Linked DNA regions of Diceros bicornis minor. The protein of the gene in region 1 purifies or fractionates together with the protein of each later gene. This does not show direct contact. Links are inferred from orthologs where the notes say so. Each region holds a gene or a part of one and is shown on either strand. Other genes may lie near its edges.

Evidence for each region.
Region 2: the proteins of PKN3 (region 1) and ARHGAP26 purify together in Homo sapiens (affinity purification with mass spectrometry; 3 studies listed by BioGRID and IntAct, with this or other methods). This does not show direct contact. The link is inferred for Diceros bicornis minor from reciprocal best matches to the Homo sapiens genes PKN3 and ARHGAP26.

The regions. Positions count from the first base shown.
Region 1 is NC_080767.1:36,476,500-36,491,972, forward strand, and holds the start of PKN3 (serine/threonine-protein kinase N3), read left to right. Parts: upstream 1-9,110; 5' UTR 9,111-9,149; coding exon 9,150-9,523; intron 9,524-9,675; coding exon 9,676-9,874; exon of another isoform or gene 9,875-10,711; coding exon of another isoform or gene 10,712-10,726; intron 10,727-11,562; coding exon 11,563-11,803; intron 11,804-12,007; coding exon 12,008-12,153; intron 12,154-12,561; coding exon 12,562-12,673; intron 12,674-12,746; coding exon 12,747-12,874; intron 12,875-13,089; coding exon 13,090-13,273; intron 13,274-14,679; coding exon 14,680-14,826; intron 14,827-14,909; coding exon 14,910-15,019; intron 15,020-15,130; coding exon 15,131-15,274; intron 15,275-15,473. Other genes in the region: protein SET, read left to right, coding at 636-693, 1,348-1,490, 1,852-1,955, 2,060-2,173, 2,782-2,952, 3,038-3,184, 3,803-3,826.
Region 2 is NC_080740.1:60,736,975-60,752,876, forward strand, and holds the start of ARHGAP26 (rho GTPase-activating protein 26), read left to right. Parts: upstream 1-7,384; 5' UTR 7,385-7,748; coding exon 7,749-7,902; intron 7,903-15,902. UniProt on the Homo sapiens protein: GTPase-activating protein for RHOA and CDC42. Facilitates mitochondrial quality control by promoting Parkin-mediated recruitment of autophagosomes to damaged mitochondria.

The DNA.
Region 1 (15,473 bases):
CACCTGAAATTAGGTTGGAGGGGTGAGAAAGGTCAGGTGCGAATCCTGGGGTTCGTATTCTAAGAGGGTAAAGTCGAGTGTTTACGATGGCGGGGTAGTTCCCAGGGCCTTCCTGTCTCTGTAGGCGTATCTCATGTCTTCATTGTAATGGGTGTTGAGCAGTATTTTTAACTTTGTATAAAAAGTGATTCTACCATTGAGATAGGTAGTGGTCTAATTTTTGTTACTGTTAATGGGTTAGTTTCCATATTCTAGTTAACAGCTAGTGCTATTCTATGGCAGGTATACAATGTGATAAATAATAGGTATTAAGAATCTCTGGGTAAGGTTTATTTCTTATTTTTCATAATAGAAACTTTACCAGTTGGTCTCTTTCTTGTAATGGAACTCTTAAAAAGTGCTACAAACATTTTGAGTGGCCCAGCAGGTAGCGTGGTTTGTAGATAGTCTTAATTAAAAAGTAATTTGTCAGCTACAGTCATGAACACGTGGAGAGCATGCCTTGTAGTAGGCAGTTTAGTTTTTTTTTTAAAACAGGTTTATTGATATATTGCATATGACAGTGTTAACATCAAGAAAGCGAGTTAAATTTATCTTTTAATTAGTATTGAGTCTTATGCACCTTTTTCTTGCAGAAAAAGAACAGCAAGAAGCAATTGAACATATTGATGAAGTACAAAATGAAATAGACAGGTAAAGTTTTTCTTAATATACTTTGGAGAAGTTTTCTGAGATGCATCTTATGGTCTGGTAGTCATTGAAACTGGTCAAATAAATCTGGATCCGCTGCCTAAGTGGAGATGATTATGACAGTTGGAAATATTATGAAGATTGTGTTATTTTTCTGTGAAATATTTGTGGTCACCGAAAAGTTTTTGATGAAAGTACATTGACCTTGTAAAGATTGGTTTGCTTGCTAAGGGTACACATGGTTTGAATCATGGTGGTGGACTTCTCATGGTTTAGCATTATGGTGTCTGTGTTGCTCTGACTTGCCTTATAACTTTGTTACTCGGTTAGCAGCTTTTTTTTTTTTTTTTGACTTGATCTGCTTGAGGAAAACAGAAGTGAAGTTAGCCTGGTGGTAGAGTAGATGAAATAAATATACAGTGTTAGCAAAATGCTCAGTTTGGGCATTTTAATAACTGTCATTTATTGAGTGCCTATTGGTAAAGCAGATATGTTAGTTTTGACTTGAGTCTATAGCTACAAAAATCTAGATGATTTGGTTATTATAAATAGGTACTTTGCACTGCTCTAAAGCTAACAAGAGTCAATACTCTGCAGTCTCTGCAGTTTTGTGTTTGTCAAATACCGTCACTATCAACGTCCTTTCATTCGTTTCAGACTTAATGAACAAGCCAGTGAGGAGATTTTGAAAGTAGAACAGAAATATAACAAACTCCGCCAACCATTTTTTCAGAAGAGATCGGAATTGATCGCCAAAATCCCGAATTTTTGGGTAACAACATTTGTCAACCATCCACAAGGTATGTTATGGGAGAGCATCATTATAAAGGGTGTGAGCTGTCCACTTGTTAAAGACTAGAAGGGTCTTGGTTGAGACTTGGTCCATCATGTTGGGTACATGCAGAGATTGAAACACTCGGGGAAAGCTTGTAATTAATGCTTTCTGTTTATTTAGAAGAGATTGTATTCTGAGGATTTTGTTTAATTACTTGATAGAAGATGGTGACAGCTCTGACACTCTGAGCCATTTGGTTTTCAGTTAATAATAGATTTATGGAAACAAAGATGCTTACTAAAATTTGGTAAATTGTAAAAGGTGTCACTTAAGTTGCTTGTTAATACTTGTCTGTTGAATATTTGACCTGCAATTTGCTGGTCTAGTGTCCGCACTGCTTGGGGAGGAAGATGAAGAGGCGCTGCATTATTTGACAAGAGTTGAAGTGACAGAATTTGAAGATATTAAATCAGGTTACAGAATAGATTTTGTAAGTATCAGTAACTCATCTTGTTTGCCACTGTGGAAATTAACTTGAGGTTGGTTAGAGGAGCTGTTTGTGTTCATTTCTAATCCTCTAATCCTTTATTATAGTATTTTGATGAAAACCCTTACTTCGAAAATAAAGTTCTCTCCAAAGAATTTCATCTGAATGAGAGTGGTGATCCGTCTTCAAAGTCCACTGAAATCAAATGGAAATCTGGAAAGGTATTTCAGGAATTGTTGGGTAAAAATATCATTTTGTATGTTTTGGTTTAGTTGAACCATTTACCAATACTGGTGCTTTGGTAATGTGTTAAATGCAGGTCCTTAAAATAAAAAACTCTGGTGTGTTCAAGTCAAATACAATAGCTTGGATCTCATTATAAATTATAGTGCAAGTTTTTGAAAAAATGGACTACATTTTTTGGTTTTCTGCGTTGGTGACTGAGCTCTTCAAATGGCCGGCCACTTCCCAAAATCCATTTATGTCTGCATTTAATTAATACATGTATTTTAAATTATCATATTATGTTATGATAATGGTTCTTAAAGTGGAACTAATTTTATGAAAAAGCCAGATTTAGATGGTACTTTTTTGGGAAAAGCTTGTCATACAAATTTGACACCAGTTTTTGCAGACCTAGAACTCTAGGACTTCTTTCTCTTTACCTGCTGGACGATTTATAATTTCTTTTAGATAAGAATAGTAGGATAGATAATGTACTGATGTCCATTTTTTTCTTATGCTTTTGGGTTAAACTCTTAATTGTTTAAATTATAGGGAATTTAGGTGTTGTAAAGAGCGTATATCCAAAGTTTTTCCATCCATTTAGGATTTGACGAAACGTTCGAGTCAAACGCAGAATAAAGCCAGCAGGAAGAGGCAGCATGAGGAACCGGAGAGCTTCTTTACCTGGTTTACTGACCATTCTGATGCAGGTGCAGATGAGTTAGGAGAGGTCATCAAAGATGATATTTGGCCAAATCCATTACAGTACTACTTGGTGAGTTGAGAAGGTTGTTTTATTCAAGGGTACACTTGTCTCATTTGTTTGAAAATGGGTTTTTACAGTAACTTGTTTCTTTAAGGTTCCTGACATGGATGATGAAGAAGGAGAAGGAGAAGAAGATGATGATGATGATGAAGAAGAAGAAGGATTAGAAGATATTGATGAAGAAGGGGATGAGGATGAAGGTGAAGAAGATGAAGATGATGATGAGGGGGAGGAAGGAGAGGTAAAAGAAAATTTGGTTAAGTCCAAAAAGAAAATACGTAAAGAATTCAGCATGTTACTTTTGAGCTTATATATATTGTATAATGGAACTAACTCAACTAATTGTGTGTGTGTGGATTTGTAGAAAAGATAAGCTCTTTTGTTGTCCAATATTGAAGGAAATTTTGATAAGTTCATTGCATCAACCATTCAACTAGTTTTCCTTTTGAATAGTTTTTATGACTATTCAATCCTGTCCTTCCCTAGCCAGTACTTAATGAAAGTGATATGGACTGTGCAGCTGGTCAGATTCTGAGGAAATCTCCCAAATAAAAATTTGCCTGTTGTGGACAAACTATAAAATTCTTACAGTCAGAGGGGGATAGATTTGTTTTTGGTTGGATTATTTGGTCTGAAAGATGTCCGATGATTTGGTTAGTGTGGAAAAGTTAATTTATCTGAAACAAGATCACTGAGTCTTGCAGTCGAGATTGGATGCAGATTGATGTGTATGTTCATAAGATTAGACGTCTCCGTAGCGTGTTGCTGTGTTCTGTGGAGTCTGTCGTAGTCCGTAGGAATGTTGGGGAATGACCTTAGAATTAACCTAAAGATTAACTGCCCACTTTTTCTTTTGCAGGAGGATGAAGGAGAAGATGACTAATGGAACACTGATGGATTCCAACCTTCCTTTTTTCATTTTCTCCAGTCCCTGGGAGCAAGTCGCAGTCTTTTTTTTTTTTTTTTTTTTTCCTTTCCCCTCTTGTGCTCAGTCGCCCTGTTTTTGAGGTCTCTTTTCTCTCCTTTATACCATGGTTCTCAACATATTTTGGGGGGAAATGCTGTGAGCAGAATACAGTGGGAAAAGAATCTCTACCCCTTTCTGTTCCAAATTCATTTTTATCCCTTCCTGTCTCAACAAAAACTTTATGGAATCAACACCACCGTGCTCTGTGGGAAAAAAGAAAAACCTTCTGCTCCCTTAGCTCTGCTGGAAGCTGGAGGGTGCTAGGCCCCTGTGTAGTAGTGCATAGAATTCTAGCTTTTTTCCTCCTTTCTCTGTATATTGGGCTCAGAGATTACACTGTGTCTCTATGTGAATATGGACAGTTAGCATTTACCAACATGTATCTGTCTACTTTCTCTTGTTTAAAAAAAGAAAAAAAAACTTAAAAAAATGGGGTTATAGAAGGTCAGCAAAGGGTGGGTTTGAGATGTGTGGGTGGGTTAAGTGGGCATTTTGACAACATGGCTTCTCCTTTGGCATGTTTAATTGTGATGTTTAACGGACATCCTTGCAGTTTAAGATGACACTTTTAAAATAAAATTCTCTCCTAATGATGACTTGAGCCCTGCCACTCAATGGGAGAATCAGCAGAACCTGTAGGATTATTTGGAATTGACATTCTCTATTGTAATTTTGTTCCTGTTTATTTTTAAATTTTCTTTTTGTTTCACTGGAAAGGAAAGATGATGCTGAGTTTTAAACGTTAAAAGTGTACAAGTTGCTTTGTTACAATAAAACTAAATGTGTACACAAAGGATTTGATGCTTTTCTCTCAGAATGGATATACTTAATATGACTTTCCAAGTTTGACTTGTATAACATGTTGTCAAACTTTGTCACCCTAACTCCGTATTTTTTGATACGCACTTTGCAGGATGACCTCAGGGCTATGTGGATTGAGTAAAGGGATTTGAATCAATGTGTTAATGTCTCCATAGTTGGGAAATATCATGGGTACAATCTGTCATCAGTTTCTGAAAATTTTCACATCATTTGGGATACCAGATTGCTCAAAACTCAGTTTTGAGTATGTTGTACTCTCGATTTGTATCTCTAATTGGCATTTTAAAAAATGGGCCTTTATTTACCTGGATATAGTAATAGTGCCTGCCGCCACCATCAGACAGACCTGGTGCTCTAATGCCAAGTTACACACGGGGCAACTGCTGGCATGTCTTCATTGGCACTGTAAAACGTGGCCGAGGAGACAGGCTCTCAGAGTAAGAAGTCCGTATTGGTGGTAAGAAACTCAGGTTAGGAGTACTTTTGTCTCCAAGTACCGGCTATTTAGCATATAGCTGAAATGAGACCCATCTGTGTGAATCTGGGTGTGACAGTGGACTCTGCTCTGTCTGCTAAATGCCATTGTGCATAGAATAACATTTTGAGAAGCTACCTAATGCGTAAGCTTTTTAATGCTGTAAAATATAGTAGCTAAAGTTAAATGCCACTTTTTCAGAGATGAATTAATGGACAGCCTGGTCAAATTCAAAGCTTTTTGATGTATAAAACTTTATAAATGGAACTATTCCATCAATAGGCAATGTGACGAAAACCTGTCTAGATGGGTAGTCTGTAATTTCTGCACAGGTCTCTGTTTAGTAAATACATCACTGTATACCGGTCAGGAATCTTGCTCCAATAAAGGAACATAAAGATTTTTTTTGACTGGGGTCATTCTCCTTGTTTTGTAGAGAAATGTTACTTTTGAATTTAGATGATAAGCTAGTATTTTTGTGTTTTGTTTTGTGTTGTTTGTGTGCATAATGATTGGGAGCGGGGGTAAACTGCTCTTCCAATAGTTTAGCAGTAAGTATAGCATAGGTAACATCTACACGGAAAGGTATGTATGAAAGTCATGGACAAATCCCTATGTTACTTGGAATGTAGTAAGTTCCTGAAGGGATTGAGTGTTCTGATTTTGAAGTCTCAACATTTAAAGGACTTTTCACTAGGAGAAAAAACCAGTAGTCACTTGAATTAATATTAAGTAAGCCTGTGATTTTTGTTTCATAAAGTTACAGCTTACCCAAACTGGTTTTTATGTGCTGGTGAGATTGTAGTACTGTTAGGTTATAGGTCACATTTAACCAAATTTTATAATATTTCTTTGTTTTGGGGAGTGGTAAAAAAAACTAGGAACCCCTAAAGGTAATTTCCTCCCAACTATTGAGATTACCTTTAGATCCCCCTGTGCCTGCAAATCTTCTGGAGTGCCAGGCTGTGAGAAAGCAAAGTGGGCCCTTAGTGTGCTGGAGATGGGCTACAGAGGGGCTGATGTGCTCTGTGCCCAATTGCAAGAGGAGTTCTTGGGCTGGCCCTTAGGCAAGTGTGTATTGGGAAGTGCCAGATGAATGGCTCAAAGCTCCTTTGGTACAAGGACATTTAAAAAGAGAGCAGATAGTGGCTGTTTGGGGAGTTTCTCTAGGAAGAGGGAGGACATCTTCCAAAGCTGTGCCATACTTGCCTTGTGAGGGGCACTTAATAACTTCCATGAAGTGAGCCACAGAGGACAGTAGGTTGTCGCTACATTTAATTTCAAAACCTTAAGGAATATTCTATTTTAGACCATCCCTGCAGTTGAAGTTACTTGTCTCCAGTGATGTCCTGATTTCTAAAAGACTTAACCTTACTGCCTGACCTCCGTGACAAGCCCTTAACTGTTTCACCCAACTCTGGCTCTAAAGTGTAGAGTTTAAATGGTCCACAGAGAACCCAGGTATCTTGTCGGCTGACATTTGCTTTACCTCTGGCTTACTTCACTTGTATCAGCTGTTTGGCTGCTAAAAGCTATGAGGTTTTGACTCTTGATGGATTTTGGGGGCCTTTTAGAGGATTCAGAGGATTCCTAGACAATTGTTTCTGGATTAATTTGGTAATCTTTATCATTATTGCTTTATAATACAACTGGTTTCATGGCTTCACTTAGTCCCAGAAACAGTTTTTCTTTTTTGTTAGATTTTGCTATGAACTCTTTATGGCTATTGCCAAGAATGGAATTCTATTGCAAAAAGTGAAGACTCGGGATTTCCTGAAGATTGAGACAAGTTCTCTAGGAGATGAATGAATAGCCATTTCAGTTGTTTAAAGAGGACAACATCTTAGCCTTTTGAAAAGTCTATCCCCACCCCAGCAGTGACCATTCCCATTTGAATATGCAGCTGTGTTTATGAAGACTTACAAGTTTGCTTTTTAACGAGTCTGAGGGAAAGGACTGCAGTTTTGTGATTAGAACAAGAATACAGAGGACTTTAAAAGTGGAGGGTGTGTGCCTGTGTGATTAGTTGGTGACCTTGTGTACTCAGATATTACCCAAGAGAGGCAAATGGAAATGTAGATGGATTGAGATTTGCAATATTGAGAAGAAAAAGTGTATAGAAAGGGAAGAATATTTCCTATGTACCCTGCTAGGAAGTTTTAGGTTCCTTTCAAGTTGATGTTGATGCAAGTTCAACAGCCAATTACCTGTGGAATTGGTTTGCACTATTCACTATCCACTGGATGTTGAACGTGAACTTCAGTTTCACGTAAGAATTGCAGTTTAACGAAGTACCATCACCATCAGACATAAGACGCAGCTATCTGGTCAGACCCATCCATCAGCCCAGGACTTGGTTTCCCTGTAGGTTTGTCCAGCCTGGGGTTCATTAGGGAAGATGGATGGATTCTGCTACTTCTCAACTCCTTTCCCTGAGTGACAGGTGAGGCAGTGAGACACTTCACAGCAAACTTGGGAAATCATTTCGAGTTCTTCCACATAATTCAGCTTAATTCAGCTTTCTGGCTGTCGCAGTGGATAAATGATCCTCAAGATGGGACATAGACACCCTCATGAAAGGGGGAACTTTGCTAGTTTGATTCATCGTTTTTTCCTCAAACCTATAACCTGCAGTCAGAAACTGATAGTCTTGGGCCGGCCCTGTGGCTTAGCGGTTAAGCGCGTGCTCCGCTACTGGCGGTCCAGGCTCGGACCCCGGGCGCACACCGACACCGCTTCTCCAGCAATGCTGAGGCCACATCCCACATACAGCAACTAGAAGGATGTGCAACTATGACATACAACTATCTACTGGGGCTTTGGGGAAAAAAAAGGAGGAGGATTGGCAACAGATGTTAGCTCAGAGCCGGTCTTCCTCAGCAAAAAGAGGAGGATTAGCATGGATGTTAGCTCAGGGCTGACCTTCCTCACAAAAAAAAAAAAAAAAAGAAACTGATAGTCTTTTTACTTCTAAATTATGGTTAATTAACATTCAGTTCAGGGCAGCTTGATAATAACCCCAGTTTAGAAAAGCCTACTATGTGTTAATGTCTAGCCCTCAACAACTCTATGTGTAAAAGTGTCACTAGCCTCTGATGATGGGTGTAGGCATGTCCCCCAGGGAACTAAGTTGCCTTTGCCTTTGTTGATGCCACTTGGTTGATTTCCCAGTGCAAGACAACCCAGGACTGTCGACGGCTTGCCAATTTCACTTGCCAGTCCATCGTGAGGAAGGTGGTCCAGGCAAAGTGAAACTGACATGATTTCCTTCAGTAAAAGCACTGGACGGCGCCCATGCCAAGTCAGCAAATAAGCCACATTCAATATTTGACCCTTACTCACTTCTGGCCCCTTGGGCCAGGCTCTTTCCATGAAGCCTGGCACCAAGTGCTGGTGAGCACACCATGCCAGGAAGTGGCTAAACAGCCCCAGACTAGGCAGTAAAGAACCCGGATCCCCTACACACGCAAGCCACTGCCAGTTCGCCTAGTGCGGGCTGGATGCTTTCTGAGACTGGCTATGTCTCAAGCTGTAAATGCGTCTTCTGTTTAAATGCGCTTTTTAGGACAAAGGTGCAACTGGCTGAACCAGAAAGCTCAAGTCTGGTCAAGTGATGGGGGACTGAGAGACGTTTGGTTTATTCATCTGTGACTTGTAATTTGGCTTAATTTGGGTGAGGTTTTACTTTTTTCAGACGTATACATTCTTATATTGACTCTAGACAGGGCTAACCAGTCCGTTGGGGCGACAGGTTTGGGATTAGCCCATTTTACACCAACGACATTCAAAACGGAGACAGTAGCAGGAGCCAGGCGGTGGCGGGGTTCCTAGGAGCGGACCGGCCACACAGGCAGCGCCCCGCGGCCGGCAGGCGGCGCTGTCCCCATCCGGGCGCGCTCCACTGGGCGCGCGGCGGGGCAACTAGAGCACCCCGCCCGGGAAATGTCCCTTCCTGCCCTCCTATGCCGCGGCGGGGGTCAGTGTCGCATGGAGCGGGAACTACGGCCTCAGAAGAGGGGGCGCTTGGCCCCAAATCCCGCGGAACATCGGGTCTGGGGGAGGCGCTGGGGCCTCGGGGACGGGAGTGGGGTCCGGGGCGCGATCCGGCGCGGCCGAGAGGCGGCGCTGGTCCCAGGTCCAGGAGGACCAGCGGACCTCGGGAGGGGGCGCCCGATCCCGCGGCTCCGCCGCCGCTTCCCGGGAAGTTTCAAGTTTGAAAGTCCTGGCGGAGGAGCCGGGGCTTCCGGAACCTGCGCGGTGGAGAGGAGGGGCCGAGCGGCCGGAGCGGCGCCATGGAGGAGGGGGCGCCGCGGCAGGTGAACCGCGCCCGGAGAGGCCGGGCTGTGGGCGCGGGCCGAGGGGGGCGGGGAAGCCTCATTCACCGCCCCGGGCGCCCCGAGCTCCCGCCGCGTCCTCAACCCCGCCCTCGAGATCCGCACCCCCAACCACTCCCCGTATCCCCTCCCAGCCCCTGCCCCGGGCCCCCCTACACGTTCGCAGTGCAGACCTGCGCTTTGGGGGTAAGTCGTTCGTGCCCCCTGGAAACGTCCCCAAATCACCCCCGAGTGACTCAGAACCTCCAGTCAGGCCAGTCCATGAGCACGTCCGAATCCGCAGTGAGGGCCACCGGGGTGGGCCCCAAAGTTTCCCAAAATCGATTCTTCCAGGTAGGAGTCTACCGTGCGGGCACCTGGGGAGGCGTCCTCGGGGGAGAAGAATGTGTGCGCAGGCAGAAGGGGTTCCGGGAGGGGCCCGTCTTCGCGCACCTGGGGGGTCCTTCCCCAGCACTCGGGCACCGGGGAGTGTGCACGCCAAGGGGAGGGGCCTAGCCCAGCGCCCCGGCGGGAACCTTCGGGTACACAGGGTTCCGGCCCACATGGCGAGGGGCGGGGTTCCTGCCAGAGCTGGCAATAGGTGCGCATGGGCGCAGGGGCCAAGGCTGTGCGCTTGTCTGTTATTGGGGAGGGAGAGGTGGAGTTCTAGCCCAGAGCAAACGAGGGCGTGGGCATTTGTGTACAAGATAGGGTCCCGGCCGCAGAGCAGAAATGGAGAGGGGTGTGTGCACATGGCGGGGCTCCAGCGCCAAGCAGACAGGACCGTGGGCTATGCTTGAGGGTGAGGCGTCCTCCACAAGACTCCTTGAGTGCCCCCACCCCAGGCTTGGGCAGCCTTCGGGGCTACGTCTGCCCCCTCCCACCGCCTTCCTCCGGAGGCCCCTCCGCCTGTTCCAGCAGTGGCTTGTACACATTTTCCGATTTCCTGTGAACCTCCGCCCAGCAGCGGCGGCTGGGTGACTCAGGACCCCGGTGGCCGGGCCCCCAGCTCTGTGGGATCTTTGTTTGCTAGGGCCTTTGGCTCTGGCCCTCTGGCCTAGGGCCCTCAAAGGATTTCCTGAGCCCCGCCCCTGCCCCTGGCCTCCCAAGGACCGGCCAGCAGGCCAGTGGAGGCATGGGGTAGGGGGTCCCTGAGGCTCGGGTAGCCACCCCTTCCACTGGGCTCCGGAGATGGATGGCGGAGAGGTAAGGTGGAGGCCCTGCCAGAGTCCCTGTGTGGGGGGCATTGTGGGTTACCCTGGGCTGAGGTCAGCTTTGGCCCCGGTTGGTTTGAAATGTTGGCCTCTTGGAAGGAGGTTTTCCTCTTCCTTGCTCCAACCTGGGGTGAAGCAATGAGAAAGCCTCCACTTCCTCCCAGGAGCTGAGCTGGGAGTGGGTCCCCAAGACCTCCTCAAATCCCCTCTCTGTGCCTCTGCTCTGCCACCTGAGACACTGGGACTTCAGGGGACAGCCCTGGCCTCTGCTTGGGCCTCCGGCTGCCCTCTCTGTGTGACCTTGGGTGAATCTCTAGCCCTTTTCTGGTCCTGAGTCTTAGCCTGAATCCCAGCCTAAGAGCAGCCTGGTTAAGCGTGGCTGGCAGGCAGAGGCTAGGGCCTGAGAGATGGTGGTGTCTCCCTCTCCGTGTTGCGGCCTTGGGCAAATTCCTTGACCTCTCTGTGTCTCAGTTTCCTCATCCATAAAATGGGGATAATGCCTGCACCTGCCTCACCTGCCTCGTAGGGTTGTTGTGGAGACTGATGAGTTAATGTATGCAAAGCTCTTAGAACAGAACCTGGCACCCAGTCACACCATATAAACGTAACAGTTTTTCCCCTGACCCTTCTCTAATGGCAGAGGACAGGAGCGTGGGCTGGAGAAATAGCCTTAGGGTTTACATGTGGCTTAGGGGTCCTAGCTCTGAGGTCAGAGATGCTTCCCAACCCTGCGGGTCAGTCCTGGGTGCCGTTCCTCCCCCTCCACCTGTGGGGAGCTTAGGGCAGTGGCGGGGGACCGAGTGGCATGACTCCTCTGCCGTTCCACAGCCTGGGGCGGGCCAGCGGCCCCCAGAGGATGAGAAAGAGGTGATCCGCCGGGCCATCCAGAAGGAGCTGAAAATCAAGGAGGGTGTGGAGAACCTGAGGCGGGTGGCCACCGACCGCCGCCACTTGGGCCACGTGCAGCAGCTGCTGCGGTCCTCCAACCGCCGTCTGGAGCAGCTGCACGGGGAGCTGCGGGAGCTGCACGCCCGCATTCTGCTGCCCAGCCCCTCGCCCGGCCTGGCTGGTGAGTGAGGAGTCAGAGCAGACGCCTCGGGGCGGGAGGCGCTGCCGACCCAGCTCCCCGGCCTTGACCTTGGCCATTCTCAGATCCGCACCCCCAGGGCCTCAGGTCGCCCCTGCCCAGGAGGGGCAGGGAAGAGAGAGCTAGGCCACAGGGGGCTCTCGGCTCTGGTGAGGGGTTCATGTGTCCCACGCTCCATGCGCACAGAACCTGTGGCCTCAGGACCCCGGCCACCGGCAGAGCAGCCGAGGGCCGGGCTCCTGGAGGCCCTGAGGAGGCAGCTGCAGGTGGAACTGAAGGTGAAGCAGGGGGCCGAGAACATGACCCGCACGTGCGCCAGTGGCACGCCCAAGGTGAGGCTCCCGGGGCTGGTGGAGAGACCGGCGCTGCTCCAGCCCCCATTCTGACAGGGACCTTTAACCTAGCTGTGACTCTGTAAGGGAGACACAGTCCTACCGCTTAGTCTGCTGGGTGAGCCCCCGACCCCAGCTTGGTGGGGAAGGCGTGGCTCGAACCCCTAGTCTAACAGAGAGGGCACCACACCGGTCTAATGGGAGAATCCCAGCCCCCGGCCCAACTCCCAGCATGACGTGGGGAGCTCGGCCCTGATCTGATGGGGGAGGCTTGACCTCAGGCCGTGTCTGGTCTGATGGAGGAGGCTCTGCCCTGGACCTAGTCTAACAAAGGAGGCTTGGCTTTAACCCTGGTCTGATAGGGGAGGCTAGCCCTGGTCTGATGGGGCCTATGTCATGACCCCATAGGAGAGGAAGCTCCTGGCAGCTGCCCAGCAGATGCTGCGGGATAGCCAGCTGAAGGTGGCCCTGCTGCGAATGAAGATCAGCAGCCTGGAGGCCAGTGGGTCCCCTGAACCAGGTGAGGCCTTGAGAAGTGGGGATGGGCAGGGCAAAGCAGGGCATGGGCCTGAGGGCTGACCCCCTCCTCTCAGGTCCTGAGCTGCTGGCAGAGGAGCTGAGGCATCGACTGCACGTCGAGGCTGCTGTGGCCGAGGGTGCCAAGAACGTGGTGAAGCTGCTGGGTAGCCGGCGCGCGCAGGACCGCAAGGCGCTGGCCGAGGTCAGACCCTGGCCCCGCCCATGGCTGCTCCTCTCTGAGGGTCTGCTTGTTCTCATATGAGCCTCTGCAGCGGCAGGGGGCACGCCTGGGCTGGCTGTGTGGGATGGCAAAGAGGAGGCACATTCTGTTTAGACCTCACGGGAGGGCTGTCTCCAGGTGGCCCCCCGCCCCAATCTTCCCTGGGCCACTACCCACTGCCTGTGTCCCCTCTGCAGGCTCAGGCCCAGCTCCAGGAGTCCTCCCAGAAACTGGACCTCCTGCGGCTGGCCTTGGAGCAGCTGCTGGAGAGACTGCCCCCTGCCCACCCTCTGCGGGGCAGAGTGGCCCGGGAGCTGCGGACTGCTGTGTCTGGGAACCCCCAGCCTTCAGGGACCCTTGTGAAGCCCACTGCCATGACAGGTAGCTGGGAGTCCCTCCCACTTCAGAGCTCCCCTTCCCTTTGCGAGAGGACCCTGAAACACAGTGCGGAAGAACTTTGGAGAAGGGTTCCAATCCTGGCCCCCTCCCCAGCTGTGTGACCTTGGGCAACTGACATCCCCTCTTTGAACCACAGTTTATCCATCTATATAACGGGGATGATAACAGCACCTACGTCATAGGGTTGCTGTGAAAATTCAGTGAGTTGTTGAATGTGAAGTGCTAAACACAGAGTCGGCACAGTCAGCTCACGATCAATGAAGCTATTATTTAAATGAGTACCCATGATAATGCTTCAAGTGCCAGTGTTAGGGAGCTCACAGCCCTGGAGGCCTTAGTACCCAGTCCTGGGCGGCTTAGACTGTTAGAAAGGTCTTTCTTATCTTGAGCTGAATCTGTCTCCTTGTAGCGGCAGCCGAATTGCAATCAACAGATAATCTGAGTGTGTCGACTTTGGAAGCCCTGAGCTTCCCACCTGGGAGACCATGCCAACTAGAGAGCCCAGCGCCTGCCCACTCAGTAATGGTGCAGGGGTAGACAGGCCACATCCCACTGTGAGCAGAGCTAAAAAGGGGAAGTACAGGGGCTGGATGGGCCCCCTCACCTGGCCTTGGGGAATTAAGGAATGCTTCCTGGAGGAGGTGGTATCTGAGGTTGGCCTTGAAGGGCTTATGGGAGTTAGCAAAGTAGACAAGTTGGGGAAGGCAAGGGGAATGGTTCGTTAAAAGGCCTAGAATTCAGTTACTCAGGGCCACCCGAATCCTGTCTCCTGGCTAAACCCCCCAGTTCCTCGAGTTGTTCTTCTTAAGATGATCTTCCAACTCTGAGCACTGCCTTTGTTTACAAGCCCCAGGCCCAGACTCCCTAAATGGTGCTCTTAGGGCTAGAGTCCCACTGCTTCCTCTACCGTTTGAGGGACAAAACTCTAATGACCTTAAAAATGAATCCACTTTGTTGGCAAAATATGCTTTGTGGGAGGTGGGGCAGAGCTGGCACTCATTTCCACTGTATAGATGGGGAAACTGAGGCCCAAGGAGGATGGGAGACAAGACAGGCAGCCAGGCTTTCTGCTCCCCGAGCTCTCCTCCCTGCCTCGCCCTGAGCCCTGTGCAGCATGTCGTCAGGGCCTGTGGCTCCGTGAGGCCTGGCTGAGATCTGAGTCTCGCTCCTCTGTCTGTGTGTCCCCCTCCTTTCCCCAACAAGAGAGTCCTCAGGAGGGGAGGGCCAGTTGGTCTGTCTGGAGGGTGGCAGGTGGCTGCCAAGGCCTGACGTGGGCAGGGTGTGGGTTTAGCCGCCTCCAGGAAAGGAGAGCATTTTGGGGTCCCAGGGGCCCGTTGGTGGTGGCAGTGGGAGGATGGCACTAAGTCCTTCCTCATGCTCCTCCACAGGGACGCTGCAGGTCCGCCTCCTGGGCTGTGAGCAGCTGCTGTCAGCCGTGCCTGGACGTTCCCCGGCGGCCGCGCTGGCCGGGAGCGCCCCCCAGAGCTGGCTTCGGGGCAGGGCCAAGCAGCAGCGTGGTGGAGGCGAGCTGGCCAGTGAGTAGGGGGCACAGGGAGCTGGGGGGCAGCAAAGGACACCCACTCACAGCCTGCCCTGAGCCCTGGCTCTGGCGCTGCAGGCGAGGTGCTGGCCGTGCTGAAGGTGGACAATCGTGTCGTGGGCCAGACGGGCTGGGGGCTGGTGGCCAAGCAGTCCTGGGACCAGACCTTTATCGTCCCCCTGGAGCGGGTGAGGCTGGCCCTTGTGCCATCACGGGCCATCCTGGGCCACGGGGTGGAAGGCCAGCCAGGTAGGGGCTGGTGCTGTGCCCCACCCCTCAACCTGGCCTCCCTGATGTAGGCCCGAGAGCTGGAGATTGGGGTACACTGGCGGGACTGGCGGCAGCTGTGCGGCGTGGCCTTCCTGCGGCTGGAGGACTTCCTGGACAATGCCTGTCACCAGCTGTCCCTCAGCCTGGTGCCACAGGGCCTGCTCTTTGCCCAGGTGCCCATTGGCCCCTGCCTTCTGACCTCACAGGCCCCTGGCTCCATCGGAGCTTGATGGCTGGAAGGGCCTTCAAGACGGTGCGACCCCCCTGTGCACAGAAGTGGAAATTGAGGCCTGGAGGGAGGAGGTCTCCAGGAATGCAGGATTCCCAGTCCTTTACAGGAGTCTAGAGGCCTGCGTCCTTGTCCTGACTCTG
Region 2 (15,902 bases), on another chromosome or scaffold:
TCAGGCAAAACAACCTTTAAAAAGTGTCTAGTTTTCAAATTGGAAAATGTTAGTATTTTAGTGATGGAACACTTTAGTTTGAGAGTATTAGAGCCACTAGTTTTGTAAGTCAAATTTTTCTATAAATGAGTGTTGGGTAGTAGAAATACAATGATGGGAAATTCCAGAGAAGAAATACAAAGGGAAGTGTGCAAGTAAATAAAAGAAATCCACCAACATCCACTGTAGCCCCACAGACATTGCATCCCTTTGCCCTGTGTTTAGATCCATCTTAGTACTGATTTTTCATACTGGCTTATCCCTAGAAGAAAGTGATAGTGGATAATTTTTCTGCTGAAATAGTGTCCTCCTCTACCCCTGCCATGCCACCTTCAATAGACACAGGCGTCCACTAAAAACCATAGCATCACCTCAAAATCAGAGCCATCTAAAGGAATATGAATTCCCATGGAAGGAAAGCCCACCCATTCAAAAGGATTTGAAGTTGGATAGTGATTGTTTTCCAGTTGCCTTAGAAAATTTTTTAATTCCTCATGACAAACTTTCTATTTTGCAACAACTGAAATGGCAACCAAAAGACTAGAAATTACCCCTTTCTCCTGTGTGTCTCTACTCCTGCTGTCTATGGTATTGTTCATTTCCCGAACATGTTTCATAGAGCATTAACTATGTGGGATGTATGTTGGGGGAAAAACAGGATTCTGTGCTCAATGAAATAGGAGAAATACTGAGTTAAGCAAACTCTTATGGGATTATTTACTGCAGGACTCCTCAGGACCTCTAATACACTAATTGCATTTAAAGCATACACCACGTATAAGAAGATCCAGAGGCAAGAAAGAGAGCAAGGTGCAGAGGACTGCCTTAGTTTAGGTTACTTTATGTAAGTAAGTGAATTTATTTGGTCATTTTAGCAGCAACAATTGTAAGAAATAGACCAATTATTTTCATTGACGCAGATAATCCTGGGTCTCTATTGAAATGATCTTCAACAATTTTCTGGTTTCATCTCAGCCTTTGAACAGGTTTATTTTTATTGATGAATTATCCTTTTTCTTAAATATCTTTCCTCATTTAATACACATCTCTGCCCTGTAAATGCAGATATTATCTTTACTCTAAATGTTTAAGAAACCATCCTTAAAACTAATGATTATTATTTTCTGTTTTGGTAACTATCTAAGGACCATGTATTAGTGCAGATGACCAAAATTCAGGAGGAAGTGAAAAATAAGGTTTTGTGGTTAGTGTATTATAACAGTTAGGGTCGTGTTTGGCTTTGAGTAACAGAAAACCCCACTAATGGGGCTTAAATAGGTTGTGTTTTTTCCCCTTCATGTAATGAGTGGTTGGGAGGTGGGCACTCTGGGGCTGGGTGTTGTGGTTCATGGATGTCACCAATGCACCTGGTTCTCTCTGTCTTCCCATCCAACAATCTTTAGCATGTGGCATTCATTCTCCTAGTTGCAAGATGGCTGCTGCTCCTCCGTGCATTATATCCACATTCTAGGCAAAAAGAATAGGGAAGAAAGGTGGGCAAAAGGTATGTGTCAGCTGTCCTTTTATAAAAAAACCAAAACCTTTCCAAAACCCCGCCCAGTAGATTTCCAATTATATCTCAATGGCCAGAAAAGTGACACATGGCCACCACCAGCTGTGTGGAAGCCTGAGGAACTGAATTCTTTCGCTGGGCACTTGGGGTTCTACTAGTAACATAGCCTAAGTTTGGAACTAGATTACCAGTTAGAATCTCAGCTCTGCTACTCAGTGGTTATGTGACTTTAGGTGATTCATTTTCAGTTTCCTCCCCTATAAAATAGAGATAAGATAATAATAGGGTTGTTAAGAGATTAATTGAGTTAATAGTTGTAAAGTGTTTAGAAGAGTGTCTGGTACATAGTAATTGTTATATGAGTACTTTCTCAATAAATCAGTAAGGAAGAGGGGAGAATGGATATTGGGTGGAAAAGTAGCACGCATGAAACAAAATCATAAGAAATGGCAATAAAAATATTGCTAACATATAAATCAGACTTGTGTAGTACAAGAAATATGTTTCATTAATTTCTTGAGCCAAAGAATGTTAATTAAGTGCTGCCACTTCCCTTAAAGAACCACAAGCCACTGGCTTTATAAAGATGGATTACTCTTTCTTCTTTTGAGGAAAATAGGATTTCATGTCTGCTTCAGTCAATTGCTTCTACACAAATTGTAGGGTCTGGGATTTAAAGCCAAAACAAATTAGAGGCTTATATAATTATTGATATATTTGAGACATACCAGCAAAAGGTCCTGGAAAAACACATACACTTCAGAATGAGATACCTCCTCTTCTATTCATGTGTGCCCTTATTCCATTTTTAGGTGTTTGGTTATTATTATTAATTTTTTTAGATATATCGAATGTCTTTCTTATAGACATCTTACATGGAGACAGTTATTTAAGACAGATAGATTTGAATTCTAAGCCTATTTCCACCACTAGCTATGTGAACTTAAGCACTTACTTATCTGAGCCTTAGTTGCCTTATCTGTAAAATGGGGATGGTAACAGTACCTACTCCCAGGATTCTACTAAAGGTTAGGTGAGGAAAGACAATAATGTGCTTAGCACAGATCCTACTACACAGCAAAAGCTTAATAAATATCATCATTAACACCACCACCATCATCATTATTTTTTAAGATCAACTTGATTGAGGTGTAATTTATATACAATAAAATGCACCTATGAGCTTTAACAAATGTCAACACCTGTGTAACATCACCACCATTGAGATATAGAACATTTCCATCACCCCAAAATCATTATTTTCAAATGGGAAAACTGATGTCTTATCCAGTAATAATACAAAGGAGAAGTCACTGTGTAAAGAAACATATGGTATCAACTGCAAAAAAGAATAGAGAAGTGCTAAGCAGAATTACAAAATCATGGGAATGTAGCAGAAGGAACATTCATTCTGAGGGGGTTGGGGGACTGGTCAGGTGAACTGCATATTATTGCTTCTCCTATTTAGCAGCAATTCCCTCTTTTCCTGTTAACAGCACTTTGCTTGTCCTTTGGGGGAACAACTCCTCCCCAATGTTTTATGTTGTGGGGGGTCAGAATTGGCTACCTCAAAATGTTTCTTTACCTTGATTATTTTCAAGAACAAAAGACTCTGAAAGAAACTTTGACCTCCCCTTCACTAACTGCCTAAAAGAATTTAAGATAGAAGGCCTGTCCCCAGGACAGGCCATCACCATAGATAACTCTGGGTATGGATAGACTGGAAGGGTCCTTGCTAAGCCTATTCTTATCAAAACTCTGAAAACCAATTAAAAGTGGAAGTTACCCCTTGTAAGAGACGTTTACACTTATAAGGGAAATCTCCATTTGTAAAGGTATCTCCCTCTCTGTACCAGGAAGAAGGGGGGATGACCTTATCTTTAGAAACTCTTATCAATGTGGAAGACAAGGACTTAAATCTGCATACCCTTGTTTACTGTGCTTTTCTGGTAATCTCCCATAGCTGACTCCTCCCACCCCCAACATCCTCCTTTGTCTTTACCTGAATATGTTATTTAAGATTAGAACCTCCGCCATTTTGTCGAGTTACCCAGTGTTTTCTTGGGTCTCTCCCATGTATACATGTTATAAAGCTTTGTTTGATTTTCTCTTGCTATTCAGTTTCATGTCAATTTAATTTGTAGCCCATCCAGAAAGGACCCAGAGTGGGTGGAGGATAGTCTTCCTCCCCTTCGATGTGTTAGGAGTGGGGTTGTTTCACCTCTGGCTTCAGTCTTGTAATTTCTGCTGGAATTCTTGAAAAGAAAACTCTCTTACTGCTAACATTGCTGGATGTAAGTTTGGAGAAGCAGAGAGAACCACTGAGAAGGAAGGCTCCACAAAGGAAGGTCAGCTGGGGGAAGAGAGAGAGAGATATTGTACTGATGTCACCATCTAAATCCCCAGATGCTGCCCTGAAAGCTCCATCTATCCCTGGTCTTCAGTTACATGGCTACGAACCTTCCTCATGTTCTCCAGCTTGTGTTCAGTAAACATGAGTGAGCAGCCCATGCCTGCCTCTGAGAGTGCTTTCCCATTTTCTACAAATGGGCGGTAATTGTATGGCAGATGTAGAGTTAATTGGACAATTGAAGTCAGAAACAATACGGATTTAAATACATTGATACTAAAAATGGAAGTATTTGGACTAATTGTTTGGCTGATTTGAAGGAATTCAGACATTCATCCAAAGAATTTAGGTCAAATCATTTTGCCTAAATTATTTCTATATTTCATATGAAAGTGATTTCTGGGCCTTAACTGTTCACTTCTATTTGCATTCATAGCCACCACCTATGTTGTCACATGAAATCACTGTTTCTTCCTTATTAAACATGTTTCTCTCCCGCTGGCATCGTGCACCTTTGAAGTATCCATTGCTGTTCTAAGTGCTGGGGCTGTTGCAGTGGACAACACAAATCTCTGCCTCATGGAGCTTATTCTCTAGGAGGAGAGAGACAACTGCACCTCCATGTGCCAGTTTCTGCGCTCAATACTACTGCATTCTGATTCTCTTTTTCTGAGAATATTGCCGGAAGTGTGGGAAGTCTTTGTGGAAATTCTGGTTTAAATTCATAAGAAATTTACGTTATCCACACACTTACATATTTGTCTGAAAACAGGCATGTTAGGTATATGTTTGTGTATATGTATGTGCCACACACATTTCTCAGTTAAGTAACCTGCTTCAAGTTACAACTCTGGGCCTCAATTTCTCATCTGAAAATTGGGGCTTGTCATAATACCAATCTTACCTTGTAGGGATTATATGCATGTAAATAATTTAGCATGGTGTCTGGCACAAACTAAGAGCTTAAATGATAGCTCATATATCATTATTATTAATACATATATATTACTTTATATGCGTTTGCCCAATATTCCTCAACAGGAGGAAATAAATAATTGTGGACCTCATTTTGTTTAATTGATTTAACATTTATGGAATAGTTTACCATGTGCTAGGCTCACTGTGGCAGATTGTTTTTTTCAGGGATGGCTACAACAATATCTCCCTTTCTTGTCACTTCCCCATCTAAAGGTACAGTCTAATTCCCCTCTCCTTGAATCTGGGTGGGCTTGTGACTTGTTTGTAGATAATGAAGGTGGTAGAAGTGTGTGACTTCCAAGGCCAGACCATAAAAGGTGGTGCAGCTTTCCTCCCATGAGCTGGAACGTTCACACTGGAGTCCTGAGGCCGCCATGCAGTGGGGAAGCCCAAACTAGGCCACATGGAGAGACCACATGGAGCAGCCCTGAGCCTACTGGAAGAGAAGGAGATGCTTGGCTAGCCACCGAGGCCCTAGCTTCTGTCACCATCTGACTCCAAACACATTAGAGACCCGAAGCTAGTACCACCTAGCTAAGCTCTCCTCCAAATTCCTGACCCACGGAGATCATGAGAGAAAATAAAATGATTGTTGTTTTAAACCATTAAGTTTTGGTGTGACTTGTTTGTATCAATAGAGAACTAGAACACCTACCTTTAAGTGCTCAAGATATAGCATTAAACAGATTTACTTTCATGGAGTTTCCATTCCAGATCTTTCTCATCTTTGGCAAATGAGGAACGACTATTTCAGGGTTTTAATTATCTGTCAGCTGTTTGGGCCTGCTATCAAGTCTAAATTTGTAGATACAGCTAGCAACTCATTCATTCATTTCTTCATGTAATAAACCAGTCAGTTAAATTCTCAACATAGATGCCTTCTCTGGCCCCCTGAGCTGGCAATCTGTTCTCCATGTTCCCACGCACTCAGGCCTTCTTCTATCCTACCTTACTGTGCAGCATTGCTATTGCTTGTTGCTCTGTCTCTCCCACTGACCATCAGCAGTCAAGTTCATTCTGTGTTATTCATTTTTTTTTTAAACTTGCAGTTATAAGACAAATAGGTTTTATTTTATTATTATTATTTTTTAATTTTTATTTATTTTTCTCCCAAAGCCCCAGTAGATAGTTGTATGTCACAGTTGCACACCCTTCTAGTTGCTGTATGTGGGACTCGGCCTCAGCATGGCCAGAGAAGCGGTGCGTCGGTGCGCACCCGGGATCCGAACCTGGGCTGCTAGCAGCGGAGTGCCGGCACTTAACCACTAAGCCACGGGGCCGGCTCTGTTATTCATCTTTGTATCCCTAGCATCTAGCCTGTTGCCTGCACATAGCAGACCTATTTAAAAAACAAACAAAACAAACAAAAAAACACTCAACTGAAGGAGGGCTGCTAGTTCCTGGACATACAAATAATTTATTCAAGGACAGTCCCTATCCTCTGGGAATCCATAATTCAGACTAGACACTGTGGGATCCAGCCTGACAAGTGCAGTGAGCGGGCTGCCTGAATTGATTCCTGTAGTGAAACGGGGACAACAGGGCAATGCATTGCGGGTGGGAGGTGGAGAGGGACCAGGGAAAGGATCCATTCATTTATTTTACAAATGTTTATCAATTACCGTAGCACACGTAGCACATGGGAAGCGTTCAATGCTATCTGTTATTAAATGCCAGCCACTGTTCTAGGTCCTGGGGGAGCAGCAGCGCACAAAACTGCGGTGGCCCGGGCCCTGGAGAGGTTCACCGCCCAGCGAAGGACGACAGGCAGTGGACGTAATTATGTAAAATTGTGCTGTTTGCTGAGCAGGAAAACAACAGGCGGCTGAAATTCTCGTAAGGATGTTAGATCCTTCGGCTGGGGGCAGCCGTGGGCGGGTTTTGAGCAGGAGTGGCCGCCAGGGGGACGGACTGTAGGGGGCGGGAAGACTGCAGGCAAGAAAAGCTGGTAATTTTAAGATGCAAATATTTTCTGCCAGACTGGAAGAAGGAGCGTGTGCCTAGGGGCGACGTGGTCGCTCGGTGCACTTGGGGTTCTCCCGGGGCAGGGCGCTGCATTTTGAGTGCAAGCTCGATTGCTCAGCAGTGCGAGGCGGGCTGAAGAGAACTGCAGCCCTAATTCCCAGTTTTTTCATGCTCAGCACATCTAGGCTCCTCCGCTCCCCAGACTTGCAGACGGACCATCTCGGGCTCGGATCCGGACCGCAGCAGGCGGGCAAGATCCGGGGTGGCGGGGGCCCATGCACCGCAGCGCTCACCCCCAGGGCTCGGGGTCTGCAACACCGCGCGGGCGGGACGGGGCGGAGCCTGTGCTGCGGTCCTAGGCGGTGGCGTGGGTGCCGCCCCTGCCCCAGGCCCCGCCTCCAGACCCCGCTGATTGGGTCAAGGCCGCGGAAGGGCCGGGCGTCCCTGGGAGGCCGGAGGGTCGGGCTGAGGTGGGCGCGCTGATTGGTCCGGGCGGGATTAGGTCATCGCTAGCAGGTTCGGGCGGCCCGGACGCCGGCGGGGCGGCCGAGGCTGCTGTGAGAGGGCGCTCGAGGCTGCTGGAGAGCGAACAGGCGAAGGAGGCGGGGAGGCGGCGGCCGCGCTCGCTCGCTTCCCGGCGCCGCTGCGGGTCCGCCGCTGCGCTTCCTACTCGCCTGCCGCTCCGCTGCTCGCCGCCGGAGCAGCCGCCCAGCGGCCGGGTCCCGGCTCGGTTCGGAGTCTTCCGCGTCCGCCGACTCTGAGCGGAGGGCGAGCCGGCGCCACACCTGTGGAGCCGGCGGCCGTCGGGGGTGCCGGCCGAAGTCCCGCCGCGTGCGTGCTCGGGACTGCAGGCCGGCCGGGCCCCGGGCTAGGCGCACCCCCTGGCTGGGCGCCGCGGGCACCATGGGGCTCCCCGCACTAGAATTCAGCGACTGCTGCCTCGACAGCCCGCACTTCCGAGAGACTCTCAAGTCGCACGAAGCGGAGCTGGACAAGACCAACAAATTCATCAAGGAGCTCATCAAGGACGGGAAGTCACTCATCAGCGCGCTCAAGAGTGAGTGTCCGCGAGCCCGGCGGGGACGGGGCCCGGGGTGGGAGGGGCCGTCGGGCGGCGCTCAGCCCGGGGCGTCCGAGCGCCCGGCTGGATTTTTGCCCCCGGGGCGCTGAGGACGGGTGTAGGTGCTTGTAATGAGGGGGGAAGGGCACATAAAATAGGCGAGCCAGCAACAATCCGAGGAGGAAGGAGACCCGTCGCCCAGCCGCTTGCGTTCTGGGATGGCCCGGAGGTGACCGAGCGCGAGCCGTGCTCTGGGGCACCGCGGTGGGTGTGAGCGGCACACAGGTGTCCCGGGAGTGGAACTGTAGTGCCTGGCGCGCCGCAGACTGTTGGGAAACCCCATCGCGTCCACGACTCAGGCTCCCTTGGGGAAGAGTTGCTCACTCCTGGGTGCCCAACCGTGGGAATGGAGCGTGCCCTGCCAAGGGGGCGCTGCCTCCCCTCGGGAAAAGGCGGGTTGTGACTGCTACGTTCTCTGCACGCAGCTCCAGCCTGCTCAAGGCCGCCGGGTTCTCCGAAAGGCACGGGCGCTGCCCAGAGCAGGGCTGGGTGGCAGGTTTGGTTAGCTTGCGAATCTTTGGAGTGTTGGCAGCCCGTAACCCCCAAATCCAGAATCAAGGCCGTGTACGTGTGCAGGTTCCGATTCCTGTGTTTAGCAGAAGGTGATAGGGGTGGGAGTACAGAATCAGAGTGTTCCTTTACTCTAAACTGTGGGCGAGGGTTTAAAAATAGAATGAACATATCCTGACTCTCCCTCTCCCTCGCGCTCCTTTTTACCTCTCCCATTATCCTTGAAAACTCAGAGGTCTGAGAAGGAATGGCCTCCATCCTCTCTCAGAAAGGAAAAGTTTAAACTCATCCTTAAAGATTCTCGAACGTTTGGTAAAACCGTTTTTGCTTATTTCCTTTTGGTAGGGGAGAATTGAAATTTGCATTGTGTGTGTGATTTTTCCCTTGACATTTGCAGAGCCAGAGAGTTTCTCCTTCTGCCAAACAAGAGAGCTCTAGGGATGAGCGCTTGGGTTGTTGAGATCGGTTTTGGTGCCTTTTCAGTCTACCCATATACAAATAGTTCAGTCCATCTTTTAGTTTTGAAAATCAGGAATAACATAAAGACAAACAGTGGAATTGTCTTTACTTTTCCTGTCTCTGTGATGGATTTCTTAATAGGTGACATCTTTCAGCTAAGAAAGGTTGCTTTGGCAGAGTGGGGGCCTAGCTCTGAGAATTGTCCCCAGGCCTCCTTAAAGGAGACTTATAGAAGTCAAGTGCCTGAGATGTCATTTTGTGAGCCTGTTGCTTCTAAAAACGAAACGGGAGACAATGGAACCCTACTGCAGCAAGTGTCAGTCTTTTCGGGTGAAATAAATAAATATGGGACTGTGATGCGATGAGGCTTCTCAGAGGCAGGGTCTCTGCTGCAGACTGTGGCCTGAAGCATATGAACAGACTTCCTTTGTCAGTGACCGGGGCCATCCTTGGTTCAAGAACACATGATCCTTGGTTTGGAGTCAGTTAGGGGCCCACTTATTGGTTGGGCCCATGAATTTTGATTGAGTCTCAGGCCGGCTTTAATTGGGCCGCTGCTTTATTCAACAAACGTTTGGAGTGCCTGCTGTGTGCTGGGGCCTGCCCTGGGCACCGAGATGTAGCAGTGAATATTCTGCTGCCCCTGTGGCCACAGAGACTAACTCCATGCCAGGCACTGCTTCACCCATGAATTATCTCATGTGATGTTATTCATTTTACAAATGAGAAAAGAGGCTTGGGGGAATAACTAGCCCAGAGCCACACATCTCTAGCATCAGGGCTTAGTTTTGAACTCCTGCATGGTCTGAGCCAGAGATGGGGTTCCTGTTGATGCAGAGCTCTCAATCCTGCCCCATCCTGCTTGACTGGAATGGACCCCTGGACCAAGCCTGTTGGAATTTGGACTTGTCTTGAATTTGGCTTGAATCTGAGGAGAATGCATTTGTGCAACTAGCAATTTATTTGCCTGCTACTATTTTGGGGCCGGGGTCAGAATCCTTTGAGTAGGAGGAAACCATGCAGTGATGGGGTTTTAGAGTTATTTAAGTTGTCTAATGGAATGGACCAGCCTTATAACTGGGGGAAAGACTGATGGGGAACTAGGTGTTCTAATCTCTGTATATCCAGCTGTGCTATGAACTAGACTCTTCTACTACTACAACCACTTGAACAGGTCATGTGACCTCTCAAAATAAAGAGGGTGGAGGCTGTCGGTATTTCCCAGGCTTAAGGCTTTCGGTTCTCATTAGGTGCTTGCTACATTGTATATTACTATATTAGTATTTGTGTATTATTTTTCTTTGGATTATCTTTATCACTACTGTAAATGTAAAGCCAGTGTTTTTAAAAATAAATACATAAAAACTATTAGTTACTTAAATAACTATTTGAGTAACACTGGTTTAGATGTTTTACAGTCTCTTCCAGCTCTAAAATTTTATGGTTTTATTTTGCAATTCGTATTCACAGATCTTTGGGTTTAGATGTTTTGTGTGTGTTAATCGGAGGCAATAAAGCTGGCCTCCCGGGATTGCCAGTGGTTAACTAGATCACTGTTATTGCTACTTCCACTTTATGAATAAGGAAACTGAAGATCAGAGAGATCAGAAACCTGCTGAAGGCGACAGCGATGAAGTGTATTTAAACCCAAGTTGTCTGATTCCAAAGCCTGTGCACTTAACCCTGAAGCAAAACTATTGTCTAAGTCACTTGTCTCTTGAATCTCCTTGAGAATCTGATAAACAAATGAACCCCTTGAAGTCTTTCCCTGGAGTCCAAACCTCTGATGTGGACCAATAGAAGATAAGCAATAAAATAATTTGGGACCTACATTTCAAAAAATCCTGCTTTTGCAGAAAGTTCTTGTTTGATGTGTAGGAGCCTTGGTGACTCCCAGTTGCTTTTTTCTGTGCTGATTTGTCCCGGCATTTTCTGTGGGCTCTCATTTGCCCAGAACCCTTTCCTTGACCTGATTGATCAGAGTCTCAGTCAAGATGACTCCGTGTGTTTAAGTTTCTTTTTTTTCTGTAGAGATAGTAGAGGCTGGAGATGAAGTCCAGACTTGTAGAATGAAGGGTTTTAAGATTTCTTGGGTTTGCGTCTTCACCCCATCACTTGCGGGTTGACTGTGGGCACGTCACTAAGCCTGAGGTCCTCCTGTGTAAAATGGAAATAGCCACACTGACGTCCTACGATTGTGTGAGTACTAAATGAAACAGTGCATGTGAAGAAAGTGCTTAGCTTGGAGCCTGGCCCATAAGAACTGCTCAATTAATGGTAGTTGTAATCATCTTCCAGCATTCAGGGTTGTCAAGACTCAGAGCAAAAGTCACTTAAGAGCAGAGGGACATTTTTTGGTTTGCGTGCAGGGAGTTAGGCCCATGCCTCCATCATGCCAGTTGTTGGTAACTTACACAGTTATGTATGTATGCTGGGAAGAATCCTGGTAACCTGGTTTGCGTAAAGTCATGGTTATGCCAGAAAAGCCACACAAGTTAAAAAGAAAAAAAATAAGTAAATCTCCCAACATTTTTTCTGTTCCTAATAACATTCTGGTAAACTTAAATTTTCTTTCTTCTTGCTGAATTAATCTCCCTGCTCAGTGGCTGGGCTGGCTGCCTCTCTCTACCTTGCAGGAAAAGCTTGCAGAGAGCCTTGGACTTCATGTCTGGCTGTCTCATGGACTCAATGGCAAACCAAATGTGGTTTTGTAGAAATGAAATTGAATCAGGCTGTTGGTTTTGAGGGGTGGTGTGGGTTTTCAGGAACTGTGTTTCTTTCCATCTTGATACTTGGTTTATGGACTCGTTGCTGGGGATATGCCCCTTTAAATTTGACTTGGGCTTTCTGAGATAGAGTGAGTACCCTTATTTTGATAGTCTAAGGTTGGAGGGGTGGGGTAGAAATGCACATTTTACAATATCATCTTTATTGAGATATAATTCACCTTACCATACAGTTTACCCATGTAAAGCATTCAATTAGTGGTTTTTTGTACATTCCCAGAGCTGTGCAACCATCACCACAATCAATCTTAGAATATTTTCATCACCCCCAAAAGAAACCCCGTTCCCATTAGCAGTCATTTTCCGTTTTCTCTCAACTTCCCTCCTACCCCCCAGCCCTATTCAACCACTAATGTATTTTCTATCTCTAGAGATTTGCCAATTCTGGACATCAGAAGTGCAGTTTTAATAGTTTTCTTTTAGATAGTGGTGACCAACTTTAGGCATAGAGTTCTTGATTGGAATTTCAGGTGCGGAAATTTTGATCCATAAGCTGCTCTCCTTCAGGAGGGTTTAAGTAGAGATGAGGTCCCAAAGAGTGAACCGTGTCGCAGGGCCAGGAGGAACTTGGGTGCCTTTGTGTTTCCAACCCGCGGAGGGGAATGGGATCATTCTAGTTCTTGGTACTTTGATAGATGCAGAGGAGATTTACCAAAACATGACTAAGAATCCAGCCCCTCTGTCAGTGAGCTTTCAGCCAAGTTGGGGCAGGGTGTGTGATACTGAATAAAACCTTACTCTGTGGTCGATATCCTGCTGGGTGACACTTTTTTTTTTTTTTTTTACAAAATGAAGTGAATGTATTTATATTTCTCTAGTTGAGCTTGTAGTTGGCATGAAACTTTTTGGAGATGGCACGCCTTTTTCATTGCATTCTCGGTGGTAGTAATTCTGAGATCTCTGACCTGCATCATATCTCCAAGGCAACCACAGTGAATTTTAGCAGAAAGGAGTAGTCTGATGCCAGCAGCTTTTGTTATTGAGCACTTGCCAAGTGCCTGGTCCTATGCTAAGTGCACACATTGTCTCATTAGTCCTTACCACCATCCTGTGAGATAAATACTCTTATTTTTCTGCATTTTATAGTTGGTACCCCAACTTGTCTAAGGTCACACAGCCTGGAAGTTGTGCAGCCAAGTTTTGAACCTGGCAATGGACTGCAGGGCCTTCTCTTGAACATGACCCCTCAGTGCTTCAGTAAATGCACTGGCAGTGAAGATGCAAATTCTTCATAGATCTAGACCTTAGAAAGGAGAAACATGCAACAGGTGCTGGATTAAGTGAGAATATTGTCCCAGTTGTTTTTCAGACTCTGAGTCCTGGGTAGCAAAGAATAGCTAAGAAAGCTATTGTGCTTTGAAGTTTTGCGTTTCTCTCTCCATCATAGGATTAAAGAGCCATTGTAAGCTAGAGGGGCAAATGAGGGCGTCTATCTCTTGGCTTTGTAAAGCACTAGAGTTTCTCTTTGGGGTAGCACTGAGTGGTCACCAATGATTCTCTTTTTTATATTTTTAAAAAATGCATACTTTTATAGCATTAATTTCTTTTTTTATTTAATTTTTTATTGAGATATAATTGACATATAACATTATATTACTTTCAGGTGTACATAATAGTGATTTGATATTTATATATTTGTGAATTGATCACCACAATAAGTCAAGTTAACATCCATCACCACACAGTTACAAATTTTTTTTCTTGTGATGAGAACTTTTAAGATTTACTCTCTTAGCAACTTTCAAATATACACTATAGTCTTATTAACTATAGTCACCATGCTGTATATTACATCCCCAGGACTTATTTTATAACTGGAAATGATTCTCTTTTAACTGGGTAATAAAGCATCAAAGAGGGAGGCCAAAAACCTGTTCCTGGGTCTGATTTGGTGAGATAAATGGTTCATCCTCTTTGCGCCTTAAAACAAAGGTAAAAAAAATCAACATCAAGATTTTTGTGCTTTAAAGCATGTCACCCTTTTGTACTTCTTTAGGATTTGCTATAGGCTTTTTGCAGTAATGAGATGAGCCCTTCTTGAATGGTGTAAACTCCCAAAAGATGTTCAATGCCAACCTCCTTGGTTTAGGAGTAATTGTATTACTTAAAAAATCCTAATGGAACAAATGGGAGTTAGATAGCAACAAGTCTTTCCCAGTTCTTTTGCTTTGCTTTAGCACCTTGCAAATAAAAGAAAAAAAAAAAAAGACATTTTCTAATTACTTGTAAACGGTGATAATTTGCAATACTGACATTTGGAGTATTACTCATACAAATATAAACAACAGCAAATGAAGTCCAAACAAGATTTTATAGTTTTTATATAACATTGGCTTTAAAAAAAAGTCTCCACTTTAATCCGTTCTGTTCTTGATTGGATTGAATAAATTACATCTAATCTGTAGTTCTTAACCCACTGACTGAAGCTTAAGCTCCCTTCCCCCCTTCTTAATAATTAATAGACTTTATTTTTTAGGGCAATTTTAGGTTTACAAAATAATTGAGTGGAAGGTAAAGAGAGTTCCCATATAGCCCCTCACACCCATTCTTCCCAGTTTCTCCATACTGTTAACATCTTGCATTAGTGTGGACATTTGTTACAATAGTGATACAATGATATTAACTAAAGTCCATAGTTTACATTAGGGTTCACTCTTTGTATTGTACATTCTGTGGGTTTTGACAAATGTATAATAACATGATTGGCCATTACAGTATAATACAGAATAGTTTCACTGCCCTAACAATCCCTTATGCTCCACTTACTCCTTGTGCCCCACCCTTGGCAACTGCTGACCCTTTCACTGTTTCTCTGGTTTTGCCTTTTCCAGAATGTCATATAGTTGGAATCATACAATATAGTACGTAGCCTTTTCAGATTGGCTTCTTTCGTTTAGCGGTAGGCACTTAAGGTTTCTCCATGTCTTTTTGTGGCTTAATAGCTCATTTCTTTTTATCAGTGAGTAATAATCCATTGTCTGAATGTACCACTTGAATACATCCATTCATCTTCTGAAGGACAACGTTGTTGCTTCCAAGTTTTGGCAATTATGAATAAAGCTGATACAAACATTTGTGTGCAGGTTTATGTGTGGACATAAATTTTCAACTTGTTTGGGTAAATACCAAGGAGTGCAGTTGCTGGATTGTATGGTAAGAGTATGTCTAATTCTGTAAGAAACTGCCAACTGTCTTTTAAAGCAACTGGACCATTTTGCATTCTCACCAGCAGTGAATGAGAGTTCTTTTTGCTCCACATCCTCACCAGCGTTTGGTGTTATCTGTGTTTTGGATTTAGCCATTCTAATAGGTAGATAGTGGTATCTCATTGTTTTTTTTAAATTTGTATTTCCCTAATAACATGATGTTGAGCAACTTTTCATATGCTTATTTGCCATCTGTATATCTTCCTTGCTGAGGTGTCTGTTCAGATCTTTTGCCCATTTTTTTTTTTTTTTTGTGAGGAAGATCAGCCCTGAGCTAACATTCATGCCAATCCTCCTGTTTTTTTTGCTGAGAAAGACTGGCCCTGGGCTAACATCTGTGTCTATCTTCCTCCACTTTATATGGGACGCTGCCACAGCATGGCCTGACAAGGGGTGCCTTGGTGCGTGCCCGGGATCCAAACCCCGGCCGCCAGCAGCAAGTGCGCACACTTAACCTCTACACCATGCAGCCGGCCCCCGCTTTTGCCCATTTTTTAATTGGGTTGTTTGAGTTTTCTTATTGTTGAGGTTTTTTTTTTTTATTGTGGTGAAATATACATAACACAAAATTTACCACTTTAATCATTTTTAAGTGTACAATTCAGTGGCATTAAGTACATTTACAGTGTTGTGTAACCATCAGTATTATCTCTTTTCAGAACTTTTTCATCATCCCAAACTGAAACTCTATACCCATTAATAATAACTAACTCCCCATTCTCCCCTCCCCCTAGTACCTGGTAACCTCTATTCTACTTTCTGTTTTCGTGAATTTGACTACTCTGAGCACCTCATATTAGTGGAATAATACAGTATGTGTCCTTTTGTGTCTGGCTTATTTCACTTAACGTAATGTCTTCAAGGTTCATCCACGTTGTAGCATGTGTCAGAATTTCCTTTTTATGGCTGAATATCTTATTGTTGAGTTTTAATTACCAGCAGCTATCATTAAGAAAGACTATTCTTTCTCCTTTAA